Anolis sagrei: one gene and its partner. The protein of the gene in region 2 interacts with the protein of the main gene of each other region in a pairwise test. Links are inferred from orthologs where the notes say so. Each region holds a gene or a part of one and is shown on either strand. Other genes may lie near its edges.

Region 1 (8,754 bases), on a different chromosome or scaffold from region 2:
GATAAAATCAAAATAATCAGGAAGCCATTACACCTCGATTTTTAGTATTACACCCATTAAATAGCCTTCCTTCATCTCCTTATGGTTTTAAACACATTCTTCTCTGAAAGCTCCAGTGCTTGACAGGTCTTGTAAGGCAGCCCTTCTTAACTTTTTCTTAACTCCTTTCTTCCCAAGAAAAAAATTGTAACCTCTTTTGCACCCAAGAAATATTTACACAAAAAGGGTATATGGGTATATAAAATAGTTATACAAATCAAACATTTACTGATAATATGTAAGCATTTACAAGGCTTGCTAAACAGGCTGATTTTCCTTTTTGGGGAGTACAGCTGAAGCATCTTCTCCAGAGTCCATTATAAACACTGCATTGTTACTAACATATTTGTGTAAATGAGTGGTGGTCAGAAAACTTTCATTGTTGCCAAATTTTTCAGGACATCAACACTGAGCTAAGGGGACCAACATTTTAAGAAGCACTGTTGTAGATGAAAAGCCATTAGACTGCCATATCCCATGGCCTTGCTTACATTAGGTTGGGAACTTTTTGCCTTCCAAATGTTTCAGTCTACAGCTCCCATCATTTGTTACAATGTTTAAAAGCAATGCTTTTGGGTTTGAAACATTCAAAAACCAATTTACTAGTGCCTTGAAAGATCTCACCAGCTACTGCAAAGATATACACCTGAAGCCTAACCCTGCCAAGACACAAGTGTGTGCTTTCCACATACGTAACTGAAGGAAATTGAAAGTTACCTGGGAAGGTCAAGAATGTGAACACTGTTTCCATCCTAAATATCTTAGTGTCACCTTAGATCCAACACTAACATTTAGGAAACATTGTATGAACACCAAGCACAAAGTAACTGCATGCAATAACATCCTGAGGAAACTTACTGGCACCACATGGGGAGCAGATCCAAAATTAATGAGAACATCAGCCCTGGCCTTGTCTTACTCAACTGCCAAGTATGCTTGCTCCGTCTGGCACAAATCTGCCCACACGAAGCAGGTGAATATAGCACTGAACAAAACATGTAGACTAATCACAGGCTGTCTTAAAGCTGGACGTGTTGATATATCCTACAAGGTAGCTTGTAGAATATATTCCCCCCCCCCCCCGTCTCAAATCCAGGAAGTTGCTGCTAACTGAGAGAGACATAAGGTTGAACACTGTGAAAGCCACCCACTGCATGGCTACCAGCCTCCTCCCAGTAGACGCAAATCAAGGAAAAGCTTTATGAGAATCACCACTCCTCTTAATGTTCTCCCAGCAACAGCAAGAGTATCCCTCTGGGCAGCTAAACCAGAAAACCCCAAATGGATGGCCCCCCCGCGAGGGTCTTCCTCCAAGGGCAAACCAAGAATGGGCAACTTGGAAGTCCCTGAACACACTCAAAAATAGAATGGGAAAATCAAAAGACAACCTGGAAAAATGCCACTATCTAAAAGAATCCTCCACCTTGTGCAACTGTGTGGCAGAAGAAACAACTCCCCATATGCATGACTGTCCACAGTATCCTGCCTCATGTATAGAGGAAAAAATGTTTAAAGCTACAATGTGATCGCTGTTGCCCGTTTTTGGTCAAAGAATATTTCACCACTTCTATTCCCTCTATTTTTATCAATTTTATACTTATTTATGCAATGCTTGTGACACAAAATAAACAAAAACGATTCTTAAAATTGGCCTTGCTAGTGTGAATTTTGTGAGGTGAAGCTCGAAGTGTTTAAAGCACCAAACATTACTCATCTTTCAACTTCAATTGTTTCCTTGACAAATATAGCAGAGCTCTCCCACCACCCCACAGATGGGATTCCTAACACAAGTCCCTCTTTCCCAGTTTTAGTTCAAGCACCTACTTGACAATGTTGGGATGGTTCAGTTCCTTTAGCAGTGAGATTTCCCGGATGGCTGTGCTTGGGACTCCCTCCGTTTCCCTGGAAGCAAACAGGAAAGACAAGGTGAGAAGGGAGGGGATGGAACTACAGGGCTGAATGACATATGGTTTTGCTCCAGGTCGTCTATCCTTAAATTATCACATAGTATGACTGAACAAAAAAAAAAAACACCATACATACATATTGTTAACAACTGGAAAACTCTTTCTAAAAGAACAAGCCACATTTTTTTCCAAAAACACAATTATTCCACCAGCAGCAGCAGCACCAAACGAAGCACCTTGTAAAGCAAATGACTCAAGTATATTCAGCTTGAGATGCAATAACTGGCTTATGCTCACTCAAGAAAAATCACTTTGCACAACTAAAGCAGCTCCAAGCAGAGGCAAGAAGTATCCCAACTTGTTGAAAGGTATGGAAATTCAGATCCCACAGATCAAGTTTGGTGCAAGCCATGATTGTGTTTTCCTTTACATAGGTTCTCACTCCAAAAGCAATTCAGTCACTAGCTACCCTATGAAACCCAAGCAACAAAGAAAATTCCTTTTCTCCAGCACTGCCTGCCATTCCTGCAATGGAGGTCAAAAATATATTTATATTTCTACCTTTGATAGCAATTACAGTCCTCCTTTCAACATGCTGTGGCCCATTCTATGGAAACCTGGGATTTGTATAGTAAGGAGGTGTTTACAATTATCTCCGCTAGTTCTGGTTTGAGACCAGGCTTCAAACTCCTGCTCAGCCCTGATAGAAACCCACTGGGCAAGGCACAGCCCTACAGTTAAATAAATGCCCACATTAGCTGCTTTATTTATTTATTTAGGACATTTATATGCTGCCCTTCTCACCCTGAAGGGGAATCAGAGCGGCTTACAAGGTATATATACCTACAATATATTATATTATTAGCATAGTACAATATCAGTTTTAAATATTGCTATATTGTACTATACCAATTATATTGTAATATTATTAGTAATATAAATATATAATCATAATATCATATTATTATTAGTGGTATTATATTGCATTACATTATAATATTATAATTATTATATGTATATACAATATATTTTATTATATTATTAGAATAGCACAGGAGACAAAGTGGAACTGTCCCCTCCCCCCCTCTTTCACTCTGGCCCAGAGCAGCAGTTGTGCTGGGGGGGGGGGGTCTCCAGCTGATGGCATATACAGGAGACAAGGTGATGCTGTCCCCTGGCCTCCCCTGAGGCTTTGACCTAGATTATATGTCAGTGTGGACTCAGATTACCCAGTTCAAAGCAGACATTGTGGGATTTTTTTGCCTTGATATTGTGGGTTATGTGGCTGTGTGGAAGGGCGCTCAGTCTCAGAGGAAGACAACAGCAAACCCCCTCTGAACAAATCTTGCCAAGAAAACCCCACAATAGAGTCATCTTCGGTCCATGACTGAAACTTAGTTGAAGACAAACAAATGTGAGGGAATATTCAACTAAATCCAAATCCCAAAGATACCTCACCCAAGACCAGAACTTTGTAAGGTGGCAACATGACAGCTAACACAGTCCAAAGCTGAGCGTCCCTTTTCCGAAATGCCCAGAACAAGATGTGTTTTAGATTTTGGAATACCTTTATTTGTATACACACAGCAAAGGAGATAACTTGGAAGATTGATCCAAATCTACACACTACATTCATACACGTGATTGTACACACAATCTGACACTAACCTTGTACACCAGTGGTCCTCAACTTGTGGGTCCCCAAGTGTTTTGGCCTATAACTCCCAGAGATCCCAGCCAGTTTACCAGCTGTGAGGATTTCTGGGAGTTGAAGGCCAAAACATCTGGGGACCCACTGGTTGAGAAACACTGTTGTACACAATATTTTAGTAATTTTGTTTATGGAACCAAAGTTTGTGTACAATGAACTATCAGAAAGCAAAGGTGTTGCCACTTCAGCCACTCCCTTGGGGACAACTTTGGGGTGTTTTGGAATTCCAGATAAGGGAGCCCAAACGGTATCAAACTTCTATATCATAGATACCACTTTCTCTCACCCATCAGCTGCCTACATAATCAAAACAGTCTTGCCAACTTAAGTCTACTGAGGTAACCCAGGGTGCATCTACACCAGGCATGGGGCAACTCCGGCCCTTCAGGTGTTTTGGACTACAACTCCCACAATTCCTAACAGCCTACGACTTTTACGCCAATGGTTCTCAACCTGTGGGTCCCCAGATGTTTTGGCCTTCAACTTCCAGAAATCCTAACAGCTGGTAAACTGGCTGGGAATTCTGGGAGTTTCCGGGGACCCACAGGTTGAGAGCCACTGTTCCACGCCCTTCCTGGGACTCTTGGCCCAGGCCAAAGGCGGGGAAGCCTCCTCAAGCCCCTCCCCAACAGACTCCGGAGCAAGCCTGCCCTCGAAGGACCGCGCCCACGGCGTGCACGTGTGCCTGCGCACTCACGTGTCCAGGCGGATCTTCTTCAGGGCCACCACTTCGCCCGTGATTTTGTTCTTCGCCTTGTAGACCACCCCGTAGGTGCCCTCGCCGATCTTCTCCACTTTCTGGAAGTTCTCCATGGGCGGCGCTCGGGGAGGATCCCAGGGTGGCGGGGGAGGGGGGGCGGCTTTCTCCGCAGAGTGGCTTCCTCGCCGGCCCTTGCTTTCCGGCTTCCTCCCTCTCTCCCTTCTTTCCGCGCGCTTTCTTTTCCCGCGCGCCAGGCTCCTCCACTCGGAAGGGGCGGGACAATTGCCAAAGCTTCACAAGGCCCGGCCCCTTCCCTCCCTCCCGCCACGCGACTTCCCGCGTTCTCCTAGCCCCGCCCCTCCTCACGTCCTATTGGCTTCGGTGCCTGTGACGTAGCAGGTTTGTGAGGGGCGGGAAGAAGAGACAGAGAAGGAAAAAGGGAAGGAAGAAGGCGGGAAATCTGGCTCAAAGGGGACCGGGGAGAAGGTTAGGGTAGCAGAGTTTCTGGTATTTAGCCTGCAAATCAGTGTGTGCGGGTGTGTATATCTTCAATATAAATAAAAATGTAATGTTTGTTTGTGGGATTAACATAACTCAAAACCCACTGGACGAATTGACACCAAATTTGGACGCAAGACACCTATCATGCCAACGAGTGACCATCACTCATAATAACACTGAAAAACACAGCAGAAGAGACTTAGAAAGCAAAAAAATTAAAAATTCATTATAACGCATGCGCAAAACCACACACACACATATATACATCCACACACACAAACACGTATATACTAGGGCTGGGTAACCACGGAAAAATTTGTTTCTAAACTCGATTCGTTTTTAGGGGGTTTTTGCGTTTCGTTTTTTAAAAGAATTCCGAAATTTTTCTTTAAAAAAGTTCAAAATATACAACATTTCGTCAATTACGAAACAATTACGAATCGATTCGTTAATGGCGGACGCAATTGCGCAACATGCAAAAAAAAAAAACCCTCCAAATGGGACAGGGAGAACTTCTGAAGCTTCCCTCTCCCTCTGTTGTTGACTGTTGGTGTGATAATTTATTTTTTATCACTGATAAAACAAACAACATCCCTAAAACTTGCACCAGACATATGGAAATAATAATGAAACAATTTCAAAACGATTTTGAACCAATTACGAAATAAATTGAAAAATTCATTTCAATTTTTAGTTGCTCCTGCATGGCTCAATATCGGATCGTAAGCTAATTTAAATACGAATCAATAACGAATTACGAAATTAACGAACGAAACCGCCCAGCCCTAGTATATACACATATACACAAATATACACACACACAAAGCACATATGCACCAACTGGGCCACAGCAACGTGTGGCAGGGGACAGCTAATGTTCATTTGTGGGATTAACATAACACAAAAACCACTGGACGAATTGACACGAACTTTGGACACTATACCCCTAACAAACCAACGAGTGACCATCACTCATAACCGCCCCCTCCCCCCCAAAAAAAAACAGTGGAAAAGACTTTAAAACCCTAAAAAACTAAATAATGAAAAGCTAAATGACGATACAGAAAAAAAGGGAGGGAAGGAAGGGGAGAGAGAAAGGAAAGAAGAAAGGAAAAAGTAAGGGGGAAAAGAGGGAGGGAAAGAGAAGGAAAGAGAGAAGGAAGCATGGAAGCAAAGAGCGCAGGAAGGAAGGAAAGAAGTAGAGATGGAAGAAAGGGGAGAAAGAGAAAGGAAAAGAAAAAGGGGTAAGGAAAGAAAGGTAGAGAAGGAATGTGAGAAGGACAGAAAAAAGGAAAGGAAGGAAAGAGGGAAGGAAGGAAGGAAGGAAGCAGAAAAAGGGAAAGAAGGAAAGAGAGAAGGAAGGAAGTTAAAAGCAAAGGAAGGAAAGAGGTAGAGAAGGAAGAAAGGAGAGAAAGAGGAAGGAAAAGGAGAGAAAGGAAGGAAAAGGAAAGAAAGAGGTAGAGAAGGAAGGAAGGAGAAAAGGACAGAGAAAAGGAAAGAAAGAGGAAGCGAAGGAAGGAGGGAAAGAAGCATAAAAAGAAGGAGGGAAGGAACGAAGGGAAGAGAGAAGGAAGGATAGAAGCAAAGAGTTAAGGAAGGAAGGAAAGGTAGAGAAGGAAGAAAGGAGAGAAAGAGGAAAGAAAACAAAAACCACTGGGTGAATTGACATCTAATGGGGACACAATACACCTATCAGGCCAATGAGTGACCATCACTCATAAAAACACTGAAAAAAGACAGCAGAAGAGACTTAAAAAGCAAAAAAATAAAAATGCATTACAAAACATGCACAAAATCACACACACATATATATATATACACACAAACACACATATATACACATATACACAAATATATACACACACAAAACACATATACACAGACTGGGCCACAGCAATGTGTGGCAGGGGACAGCTAGTATCTTTATAAAATATCAGCGTGTATGTTTGTGCATGCAAAACTTGAAAAGTAGACGCCCGAATGACTTGAAATTTTAAAACAGAGTTACTATCCAATACACGTGTGTTTTAATAGTAAAATGAAATTATTACAACGGTTGCATTCAAAAATACACATGTGTTTTAACAGTAAAACTAGCTGTCCTTTTACCTCATCAGTTTAAGAAATAACCTATCACAGATCAGGTAGATGGCATAACCAATCACTGCACACCTTTCCTTTTACCTCAGCAGTGTAGGAAAAAACCAACCAATCACAGAACAGATGACATTTCACCTCAGTAGTTTAAGAAATCTTTCCTTTTTTTGAAGCATTTGTAAAATTTAATAAAACTGGATTAAAAAAAAGAAATGAAAGCTGAGCTGTGATTGGTTGCTATTGGGGTACAACTCATTACCCTTCGGGATGAGAAGGGCGGCATATAAATGTGGTAAATAAATAAATAAATACTGAAAAATGTGGCTTTGCAATGTTTTATATTTAACATATTGTTTTATACAAGACACTGCCATAGCCCATTGCTATGAAATACTGGGATCTATAGTTTTACATGGTATTTTGCCTTCTCTGCCAAAGAGTGCCAAACTCCAACTCCCAGGATTCCACAGTATTGAGCCATAGCAGTTCAAGCCATCTGTCAGGGGTGATTTGAATGCAACATTCCTGCTTCTTGGCAGAATGGGGTTGGACTGGATGGCCCATGAGGTCTCTTCCAACTCTTTGATTCTATGATTCTAAGTGGGATCAGACAGCATTACTTCTACAGTGTAGATGCACCCAAAGGTTTGTGCTACAACTTTTTTTCTCTCGTTCTCTAAGGTGCATCAGGATCCCTTTGCTCCCTGAACATTACATGTGATCAAAATGTACAACATAAGTGACTAACATTAGAGAAAACCCATGTGGGAAGCCTGGGAGATAAATGGTTCTTCCGTTAATTCCATTAAGGCATCACACTCTAACTGAAAAGTGTAAAATCTCTTACAGCAAATCAATAAAAATACCAATATCTATTGGCACCTGAAAGATACAACTTCTTCAAGGGAGTAAACCCCACTGACCATGCTGAAAAACCTGTCACTAATATTTTTTTAAAAAAAATCAGAAGATTTTCCCATTAAAAATCATGAATTATATCTTACGGAAGCTTATTCATGGGGGACGCCTCATTTACGCTTTTGAGAGTTAGTTCTGGATACAGATATTTTATGGTTTTAAATTTCAGGAACTAATGTCCATGTCATCAGATGAAGCATTACTGTTGGCATATTGTTGGTTTGCACCCATAAATGTTCACAGCCAGATGGGAATAAAGCACCCACTTCTTCTTAGCCAACCGCAGCTGTCAATTTCACATCTTTTAATTGGACCGAAGCAAAAAGCCGCCGACTTTTTAGAAAAAGTGTGTTACGGTAGCTGTTGCAATAAATGACTTTTTGGAAAAACCGTTGGAATGTGACCTTTCTAGCCATCTGCAAATCACAATCAGAGGATAAAATTAGAAAACATGGAATTCACATTGCAACACCCACTCTAGAATAGAATCATAGAATTGGAAGAGACCTCGTGGGCCATCCAGTCCAATGCCCTGCTAAGAAGCAGGAAAATCACATTCAAAGCACCCCCGATAGATGACCACCCAGCCTCTGTTTTAAAGCCTCCGAAGGAGGAGGCTCCATCACACTCCAGGGCAGAGAGTTCCACTGCTGAACAGCTCTCATAGTCAGGAAGTTCTACCTAATGTTCAGATGGAATCTCTTTTCTCATAGTTTGAAGCCATTGTTCCATGTCCTAGTCTCCAGGGAAGCAGAAAATAAGCCTGCTTCCTCCTCCCTATGACGTCCCTTCACGTATTTATACATGGCTATCTGACCAGTAAAAAGCATACTGAGAAAAGTGTCGGGAAGAACAGTTGAATAGGAGTTTTCTCCATCTCT
Region 2 (11,090 bases):
CCAACTCTTGGATTCCATGATTCTATGATTCTATGCATATATATATACACACAATACACATATACACAGACTAGGCCACAACAATGTGTGGCAGGGGACGGCTAGAATATATATATATATTGCTTCAAGATGCCCTTTGTGACTGATAATACCCTTGCAACCTTCCTTCCTTCCTCGACATGCATGCCTTCCCTTGGCCTTCCAATCAGCCTGCAATTACTTAAAAGTTGCACACAGTTTTGGTGGGGGATCTTCACCCGAAATTCCCACCAGATCTGCTTTGCACTGGGTCATCTGAGTCCACACTGCCACAGAATCCAGTTCCAAGCAGGCAACGTGGGATTTTGTCCAGCGGTGTGGAAGGGGCCTCCGGTCACCCAGTTCCAAGCAGATCTCGTGGGATGACCTGACTCGACATCCTGGGTTAGAGGAACACGTGGAAGGAAGGAAGGAAGTGAAGGAGACTCATTGCAAAACGAGGGCCAAATGTGCTTGCGATGGGTGAGCGAGGTCCCTCCTGCAAAAGCAAAGCTTGGGCCACTTTCCCCACGTGTTTGAGGAGACAGAGAATTGGGGAAAGGACACGGATGACCACGGAAGACAAATGGAGTCAGAACAAGGCCAAACAATAACACCACTAACCTATTAACATTAATAACAACAGTATATTGACAGAAATATATAATCATTATTGTTGTTATTAACATACTATTAGGATTAATATGAATGATACCAATATATTTATTGTTATTATTAGTCATAATACTCCTTTGGGGGGGGGCAAGGGGTCTCTTGGAGTGGCCCCCGTTGAGGCCTGCAAAACAGGGGAGCCCCCCCTCCCAGCACCCCACTCACACAACTATTGATACAGATATATATATTTATAGAGATATATTTATATAGAGAGAGACTGAAATAAAAGTAGATATACATAGTCAGAGATAAATATATTTATAGTGATACAGATTTTATAGCTATATAACGAAAAAGAGAGCAATATAGAAAGGTATTTATAGAGGGATAGATATATTTATATTTATATAGAGAGAGATTTATAGAGAAATACAGATATATATATATAGAGAGAGAGAGAGAAGCAGAGATATATTTAAGATATATATATTTATAGAGAGATATTTATAGAGAGATATTTATACAGAAAGATATATATATATATATATATATATATATATATATATATGGAGATATATAGATATATGTAAATGTAGATATATATAGCGATATATATATATATATAGTTTTATATAGAGAGAGAGATTAATAGACATATAGAGAAATAAATATTTATAGAGATATATTTATAGAGAGAGAAAGATATATTTACATATATATATATATATAGGAAGAGAGATATATATTTAAATGTAGATATATAGAGAGAGAGCCATAGAGAGATAGAGAAATACAGATATATATATAGTTAAGATATATATTTATTGAGAGATTAATAGACATTAAGAGAAATAGATATTTATAGAAAGATATATTTATATAAAGAGATATTTATACAGAAAGATATATTTACAGACATATATTGAAAGAGATATAGATATAAATATAGATATGTATTTATAGAGAGACCCAGAGAGATAGAGAAATATAGATACATATATTTATAGTTAGATATATATTTATTGAGAGGTTAATAGATATAATCTATAGATTATAGAGAGGTATATTGAGATATATAGAGATTGATATATATATATAGATTTTTATACAGAAGATATATTTACAGAGATAAAGATATATTTATTTATTTATTTATATAGAGAGAGATATTTAAATATAGATAAATATAGATTTAGAGACACAAAGAGACATAGAGAGTGAGAAATACAGATATATATATATATATTTATAGTTAGATGTATATCTATTGAGAGATTAATAGATATATAGAAATATATATATATATTTATAGAGACAGATTTAACAGATATATATATAGAGAAAGAAATTGATATATAGAGGTATTTGTACAGAAAGATATATACACAGAGAGAGAGAGAGAGAGAAAGAGATATATTTATAGATATATAGAGATATTTAAATATAGATAAATAGATATTTAGAGAGAGAAATACAGAGATGGATATATAGATAGATATCTAGAGAGAGAGACAGAGAGATTTAAGCGATATGTATATAGAGAGGGATTGATATATAGAGATATTTCTAGAGATGAAGAGATATATTTATAGATAGATATAGAGATATTTAAATATAAATATGTATTTACAGAGACAGAGAGAGTGAGAAATACAGAGATATATCTATTTATAATTAGATGTCTATCTATTGAGAAATGAATATATATAGAGAGAGGCACAGAGATATATTTAGTTAGATCTATTTTTATTGAGAGATTGATAGATATATAGAGAAATAGGTATTTATTTATAGGTAAATATATAGATATATTTAAATATATATAGAGATGCACAGAGAGATAAATGCGGAGAGAGATATTTATAGTTAGATATATATTTATTGAGAGATTAATAGATATATATAGAGAGATAGATATTTAGTTATAGATAGGCAGATATATATATATATTTAAATATATATATTTATAGAGATGCACAGAGATATATTTATAGTTAGATTTATTTTTATTGAGAGATTGATAGATATATAGAGAAATAGCTATTTAAAGAGAGAGATATATATACTTATAGAGACAGATATATTTAACAGATATATATAGAGAGAGAAATTGATATTTAGAGGTATTTCTACAGAAAGAGAGATATATACAGAGATAGAGAGAGATATATTTATAGATATAGAGAGATATTTAAACAGAGAGAAATATATATTTACATATGGAGAGAGAGAAATGCAGAGATGGATATATAGATATATAAATAGAGAGATATAGAGATATTTAAATATAGATAAAGAGATATTTAGAGAGAGAGAAATACAGATATATATATATATATATTTATTTATATATATTTATATATATTTATAATTAGATGTCTATCTATTGAGAGATTAATAGAGAGAGAGGCACAGAGATATATTTATAGTTAGATTTATTTTTATTTTTATTGAGAGATTGACGGATATATAGAGAAATAGATATTTAAAGAGAGATATATATTTATAGAGATATATTTAACAGATATATATATAAATTGATATATACAGAAATTTCTACAGAAAGATATATATATATATATACACACACACACACATACAGAGATAAAGAGATATATTTATAGATATTTAGAGATATTTAAACAGAGAGAAAGATATATTTACATATGGAGAGAGAGGGAGATAAATACAGAGATGGATATAGATATATAAATATATAGAGAGAAATAAATATATATTTATGGAGAGATATATTTATAGACAGAGATATATTTACAGAGATATATTTACAGAGATATATTTATAGATATATAGAGATATTTAAACAGAGATATTTAATAGATATAGATATTTAAATATAGATAAATAGATATTAGAGAGAGAAATACAGAGAGATATATATTTATAATTAGATGTCTATCTATTGAGAGATTAATAGATATAGAGAGAGGCACAGAGAGATATTTATAGTTAGATTTATTTTTATTGAGAGATTGATAGAGATATATATAGAGAAATAGGTATTTATTTATAGATAGGTAGATATATTTAAATATATAGAGAGATGCACAGAGAGATATTTATAGTTAGATTTTTATTGAGAGATAGATAGATAGAGACAGAGAAATATTTAACAGAGAGAGAAATTGATATTTAGAGGTATTTCTACAGAAAGATAAATATCTACAGAGATAAAGAGATATATTTATAGATATAGAGAGATATATTTAAACAGAGAGAAATATATATTTACATATAGAGAGAGAGAAGGGGGGAGAGAGAAATACAGAGATGGATATAGATATATAAATATATAGAGATATATTTATAGATATATAGAGATATATTTAAGCAGAGAGATATTTAACAGAGAGAGAGGAATACAGAGAGATATCTATTTATAATTAGATGTCTATCTATTGAGAGATTAATAGATATAGAGAGAGGCACAGAGAGATATTTATAGTTAGATTTATTTTTATTGAGAGATTGATAGAGATATAGAGAAATAGATATTTAAAGAGAGAGATATATTTATAGAGACAGAGATATATTCAATATAGAGAGAAATTGATATTTAGAGGTATTTCTACAGAAAGATATATATCTACAGAGATATAGAGAGAGATATTTAAACAGAGATTAATAGATATTTAGAGAGAGAGAGACACACACAGAGGGAAATACAGAGATGGATATAGATAGATATCTAGATATGTAAATAGAGAGACTGACCTTCCTAGGCCGGCCAGTCTGTCCATGTTGAGGGCCAGGCTGGCCACCGGGGAGAGGCCCCAACCCAAGCTGCTGGTGGGCCGGCGGGGATCCATGCTTTCTCTCGCCTTGCCTTGCCTTGCCTGCCTGCCTGCCTGCCTGCCTTCCTTCCTATACAACACACAGGCCAGGAGTAGGAAGGCGGCAGCGGCAGCAGTCCCACCGACTCCTCAGGAAGTCCAGGCCGAATGGAGCCAGCGCGGGAAGGAGGACCCGCTTTTATACCCAAGGGGCGGGGCCTCAGCCCAAGCCACGCCCCCGACACGCCCCCTCTATTGATATTCGAAAAATAACAGCGCCAAAGAGAGCAGCAGGCGGCAGCCAATCCGCGCGCAGGAAGGAGGGCAGGCACCCGGAAGTCAGGGAGGAAGGAAAGGCAAGCAGAAAGGAAAGAAGGAAGGAGCGGGTTTAAACCGCATCATTTATTATTATTTATTTATGTATTGCAGTTACTTCTACCCCGCCCTTCTCACCCCCGAGGGGGGACTCAGGGCGGCTTACAAACAAAGGCCCAAATTCGATGCCTGTCAAAATATACAGCATATATAAAACAGTATAAACATTTAGCAGCATTAAAACACATCACTACATAATATAATAAAAACAATTTCATGCACAGTGAGATTCAGAGTTCCGAAATGTCCATTCATTCCAACAATTCCTGCTCATCAATGAGTCCTTATTTTAGCTGCCAGAATGTCCAAAAGCTTGGTCCCAGATCCAGGCCTTCAGTTTTTTTCTGAACGACAGAAGGGAGGTCGCTGATCTGATCTCCCCGGGGAGTGAGTTCCACAGGTGAGGGGCCACCACCGAGAAGGCCCTGCTCCTCGTCCCCGCCAGCCTCGCTTGAGATAGAGGCGGGGTCGAGAGCAGGGCCTCCCCAGAAGATCTTAGACTCCGAGGTGGGATGTAGATGGAGATCCGTTCGGACAGATACACTGGGCCGGAACCGTATAGGGTTTTGTAGGTTAAAACCAGCACTTTGAATTGTGCTCGGAATTGGATCGGCAGCCAGTGGAGCTGATGTAGCAGGGGGGTGGTGTGCTCCCTGTACGCCGCTCCAGTGAGCAATCTGGCTGCTTCTCGCTGGACTAATTGTATAGACTACGAGATTGGTTATGATTCTATGATAAGACGAAGCGGATTATTTTAGTGTAATTAGATGATAGTGTATTAGTGATATGTTGTTTTTTTTGTCGTTGTAGTTATTGTAAAATGTGTTTTTTATATGTTGTACACCGCCGCGAGTCGCCCTAGGGCTGAGAGCGGCAGTTAACAAATGCAGCAAATAAATAAATAAAATAATAGTTTCCGAGCAGTCTTCAAAGGCAACCCCACGTAGAGTGCATTGCAGTAATCCAACCGGGATGTGACAAGAGCGTGGACCACCGTGGCCAGATCTGGCTTCTCAAGGTACGGGCGCAGCTGGCGCACAAGTTTTAATTGTGCGAAAGCTCTCCCGGCCACCGCTGAGACCTGGGGTTCCAGGCTCAGCGATGAGTCCAGGATCACTCCCATCAGCTCTACTGTGTAGACCAGGGGTCCTCAAACTTTTTAAGCAGAGGGCCAGGTCACAGTCCCTCAAACTGTTGGAGGGCCGGATTATAATTTGAAAAACAAAACAATAATAATAATAACTTTATTTTTTATTATTGTTATTGCTATTGTGGTTGTTCTTATAAGTGAGGGGCTAGGTGTGAAAAAGTAAGTGCCTGCCACCCCTGTCTTCGGGAGCGTCCACACAGTAGGGCTGATGCGGTTTAAACCCGCTCCTTCCTTCCTTCCTTCTTTCATGCTTGCCTTTGCTTCCTTCCCGACTTCCGGGTGCCTGCCCTCCTTCCTGCGCGCGGATTGGCTGCCGGCTGCTGGTCTCTTATTTGTAGTGTAAAAAACACTTAAAAACAATACAATAATTAAAATGTTAACAAATATAAACTTATTAGTATTCCAATGGGAAGTGTGGGCCTGCTTTTGGCTGATGAGATAGGGTTGTTGTTGTTGTTGTTGTGTGCTTTCAAGTCGTTTCAGACTTAGGTTGACCCTGAGCGAGGGCCGGGTTAATGACCTTGGAGGGCCACATCCGGCCCCCGGGCCATAGTTTGAGAGCCCCTGGTGTAGACGCAACCAAAAACACCGGTGGCAGGCACTTACTTTTTGACCCCTGTTGTTGTTCATTCGTTCAGTCGTCTCCGACTCTTCGTGACCTCATGGACCAGCCCACGCCAGAGCTCACTGTCAGCCGTCACCACCCCCAGTGTCTCCTTCAAGGTCAGTCCAGTCACTTCAAGGATGCCGTCCATCCATCTTGCCCTTGGTCGGCCCCTCTTCCTTTTGCCTTCCACCTTCCCCAGCATCATTGTCTTCTCTAGGTGACCCCACGCCAAAGCTCCCTGTCGGCCGTCACCACCCCCAACTCCTTCAAGGTCAGTCCAGTCCCTTCAAGGATGCCATCCATCCACCTTGCCCTTGGTCGGCCCCTCTTCCTTTTGCCTTCCACTTTCCCCAGCATCATTGTCTTCTCTAGGTGACCTCATGGACCAGCCCACGCCAAAGCTCCCTGTCGGCCGTCACCACCCCCAACTCCTTCAAGGTCAGTCCAGTCCCTTCAAGGATGCCATCCATCCACCTTGCCCTTGGTCGGCCCCTCTTCCTTTTGCCTTCCACTTTCCCCAGCATCATTGTCTTCTCTAGGTGACCTCATGGACCAGCCCACGCCAAAGCTCCCTGTCGGCCGTCACCACCCCCAACTCCTTCAAGGTCAGTCCAGTCCCTTCAAGGATGCCATCCATCCACCTTGCCCTTGGTCAGCCCCTCTTCCTTTTGCCTTCCACCTTCCCCAGCATCATTGTCTTCTCTAGGTGACCTCATGGACCAGCCCACGCCAAAGCTCCCTGTCGGCCGTCACCACCCCCAACTCCTTCAAGGTCAGTCCAGTCCCTTCAAGGATGCCATCCATCCACCTTGCCCTTGGTCGGCCCCTCTTCCTTTTGCCTTCCACTTTCCCCAGCATCATTGTCTTCTCTAGGTGACCTCATGGACCAGCCCACGCCAAAGCTCCCTGTCGGCCGTCACCACCCCCAACTCCTTCAAGGTCAGTCCAGTCCCTTCAAGGATGCCATCCATCCACCTTGCCCTTGGTCGGCCCCTCTTCCTTTTGCCTTCCACTTTCCCCAGCATCATTGTCTTCTCTAGGTGACCTCCTGGACCAGCCCACGCCAAAGCTCCTTGTCGGCTGTCACCACCCCCAGCTCCTTCAAGGTCAGTCCAGTCACTTCAAGGATGCCATCCCTCCACCTTGCCCTTGGTCGGCCCCTCTTCCTTTTGCCTTCCACTTTCCCCAGCATCATTGTCTTCTCTAGGTGACCTCATGGACCAGCCCACGCCAAAGCTCCCTGTCGGCCGTCACCACCCCCAACTCCTTCAAGGTCAGTCCAGTCCCTTCAAGGATGCCATCCATCCACCTTGCCCTTGGTCGGCCCCTCTTCCTTTTGCCTTCCACTTTCCCCAGCATCATTGTCTTCTCTAGGTGACCTCATGGACCAGCCCACGCCAAAGCTCCCTGTCGGCCGTCACCACCCCCAACTCCTTCAAGGTCAGTCCAGTCCCTTCAAGGATGCCATCCATCCACCTTGCCCTTGGTCGGCCCCTCTTCCTTTTGCCTTCCACTTTCCCCAGCATCATTGTCTTCTCTAGGTGACCTCCTGGACCAGCCCACGCCAAAGCTCCTTGTCGGCTGTCACCACCCCCAGCTCCTTCAAGGTCAGTCCAGTCACTTCAAGGATGCCATCCCTCCACCTTGCCCTTGGTCGGCCCCTCTTCCTTTTACCTTCCACTTTCCCCAGCATCATTGTCTTCTCTAGGTGATCTCCTGGACCAGCCCACACCAAAGCTCCCTGTCGGCCGTGGCCACCCCCAGCTCCTTCAAGGTCAGTCCAGTCACTTCAAGGATGCCATCCATCCACCTTGCCCTTGGTCGGCCCCTCTTCCTTTTGCCTTCCACTTTCCCCAGCATCATTGTCTTCTCTAGGTGACCTCCTGGACCAGCCCACGCCAGAGCTCCCTGTCGGCCGTCACCACCCCCAGGGTCTCCTTCAAGGTCAGTCCAGTCCCTCCAAGGATGCCATCCATCCATCTTGCCCTTGGTCGGCCCCTCTTCCTTTTGCCTTCCACTTTCCCCAGCATCATTGTCTTCTCTAGGTGACCTCCTGGACCAGCCCACGCCAGAGCTCCCTGTCGGCCGTCACCACCCCCAGGGTCTCCTTCAAGGTCAGTCCAGTCACCTCAAGGATGCCATCCATCCACCTTGCCCTTGGTCGGCCCCTCTTCCTTTTGCCTTCCACTTTCCCCAGCATCATTCCCTTCTCCAGGCTTTGCTGTCTCCTCATGATGTGGCATTCAAAGGACTTCAACTTTGTCTCTCATCTCCTTCCCTCCAGTGAGCAGCCGGGCTTTATTTCCTGGAGGATGGACTGGTTGGATCTTCTCGCAGCCCAAGGCACTCTCAGAACTTTCCTCCAACACCACAGCTCAAAAGCATCTCTCTTCCTTTGCTCAGCCTTCCCGAAGGTCTAGCTCTCACATCCGTAGGTGACTCCAGGGAAGACCATGGCTTGGACTAGGCAATGGATCTTGGTTGCCAGTCTGATGTCTCTGCTCTTGACTCTTTTATCGAGACTGGACATTGCTCTCCTCCCAAGAAGGAAGCGTCTCCTGATTTCCTGGCCACAGTCTGCGTCCACACTCATCTTTGCGCCTAGAAATACAAAGTCTGTCACGGCCTCCACATTTTCTCCCTCTATTTTCCAGTTGTCAATCATTCTTGTTGCCATAATCTTGGTTTTTTTGACGTTTAGCTGCAACCCGGCTTTTTTTTTTGACCCCTAGCCCATCAATAATAACAACAACAATAGTAACAATAATAATAATAATAAATACTATTTAATAAATAATAATAATAATAATAGTATAATAATAATAATAATAAGTAAAACATAAATAAAATAACAATAATATAAAATTAAAAATAATTAATAATAATATTTAATAAAATTATTATTATTAATAGTAATAAAAATTACTATTTAAAATAAATAAAATAATAAAATAAAATTAAAATAATTACTACAAATAATAATAACAATAATAATTAATAAAAATAATAATAAAACAATAAATGCAAAGACTCTGGCACAAACCAGTCAAGATGGTCCCAGTGGTGATGGGCACACCGGGTGCAGTGCCTCAAGACCTTGGTCTGCACTTAAAAACAATCGGCACCAACAAGATTACCATCTGCCATCTGCCAACAGGTGGCCATCCAGCCTTTGTAATATTAGTATTAAGAAGAAGAAGAAGAAGAAGTAAAAAATAAATTAAATGAAAAAAATTAATATAAATAATAATAATAAATTGAGGATTTAAAGATCGAACTGCAAAGACTCTGGCACAAGACAGTCAAGGGGGTCCCAGTGGTGATCGGCACACCAGGTGCAGTGGCTGAAGACCTTGGCCTGCACTTAAACACAATTGGCGCTGACAAGATTACCATCTGCCATTTGCAAAAGGCCACCTTACTGGGATCTGCACGCATTATTTGCCAATACATCACACAGTCCAAGATACTTGGGAAGGGTCCGACATGGGATCCAATACAACAGCCAGCAGAGTGATCTTGTCTGCTGTGGACTCATCTTTTTGTGTCTCAAATAATAATAATAATAACAACAACGACAACAACAGCCAGCAGAGTGACCTTGTCTGCTGTGTACCAATCTTGTTGTGTTTCAAATAATAATAAAATATTTAACGATTATGATGATGATGGTGATGGTTATTACTTTTTGCATCTGGAAAATCCTGCAAATCTCTTGGGAAGACAAGACAACAAATGTCAGCGTGTTGGAAGAAGAAGCAAAGACCACCAGCATTGAAGCGATGGTCCTCCGTCATCAACTCCGTTGGACCAGCCACATTGTCCGGATGCCAAAGGTCACCATCTCCCAAAGCAGTTGCTCTACTCCGAACTCAAGAACGGAAAACGGAATGTTGGTGGACAGGAAAAGAGATTGAAAGATGGGCTCAAAGCCAACCTTGAAAACTCTGCCATAGACACTGAGAACTGGGAAGCCCTGGCCCTTGAGCGCTCCAGCTGGAGGACAGCTGTGACCAGCAGTGCTGCAGAATTCGAAGAGGCACGAATGGAGGGTGAAAGAGAGAAACGTGCCGAGAGGAAGGCTCCTCAAGCTAACTCTGACTGAGACCGCCTTCCACCTGGAAACCGATGACCTCACTGCGGGAGATGATGCAGATCAAGAATAGGGCTCCACAGCCACCTATGGACCTACCCTGGGAGACTATCCTACTTGGCCAACGAGGAATCACCTAACTAACTGGCTTTTGTTCTGCAGATAAGACCCCAAGGGAGCTTTCTCTATCATCTTGCGGCCGTTATCTGGGTTCCGGCCTGGCCCATGTTTGCGCATATTTGTGTAATGGAAAGGGCTTTGGCTTCCGATAGGCGAAGGAGCCATAACAAAAGGGGAGCTCACCATGTGGAAATCGCCATGGAGCCAGAACCCTGAAGCCATAAGAAAGAGGCACATCAAGGACATACACATACGTGGCAACAAAGGTTTGGGATGGAACCATACAACCTATGAGAGCAGCAACCCAAGCAATGGAAG

What was found. The genes of interacting proteins can lie anywhere in the genome.
Region 1: the proteins of CDC25B (region 2) and CDK2 interact in a two-hybrid assay, tested with the Homo sapiens proteins (2 studies listed by BioGRID and IntAct). The link is inferred for Anolis sagrei from reciprocal best matches to the Homo sapiens genes CDC25B and CDK2.

What each region holds. Positions count from the first base shown.
Region 1 is NC_090022.1:146,497,408-146,506,161, reverse strand, and holds the start of CDK2 (cyclin-dependent kinase 2), read right to left. Parts: upstream 4,654-8,754; 5' UTR 4,471-4,653; coding exon 4,355-4,470; intron 1,942-4,354; coding exon 1,864-1,941; intron 1-1,863. UniProt on the Homo sapiens protein: Serine/threonine-protein kinase involved in the control of the cell cycle; essential for meiosis, but dispensable for mitosis. Phosphorylates CABLES1, CTNNB1, CDK2AP2, ERCC6, NBN, USP37, p53/TP53, NPM1, CDK7, RB1, BRCA2, MYC, NPAT, EZH2.
Region 2 is NC_090025.1:1,198,379-1,209,468, reverse strand, and holds the start of CDC25B (M-phase inducer phosphatase 2), read right to left. Parts: upstream 4,586-11,090; 5' UTR 4,464-4,585; coding exon 4,369-4,463; intron 1-4,368. UniProt on the Homo sapiens protein: Tyrosine protein phosphatase which functions as a dosage-dependent inducer of mitotic progression. Directly dephosphorylates CDK1 and stimulates its kinase activity.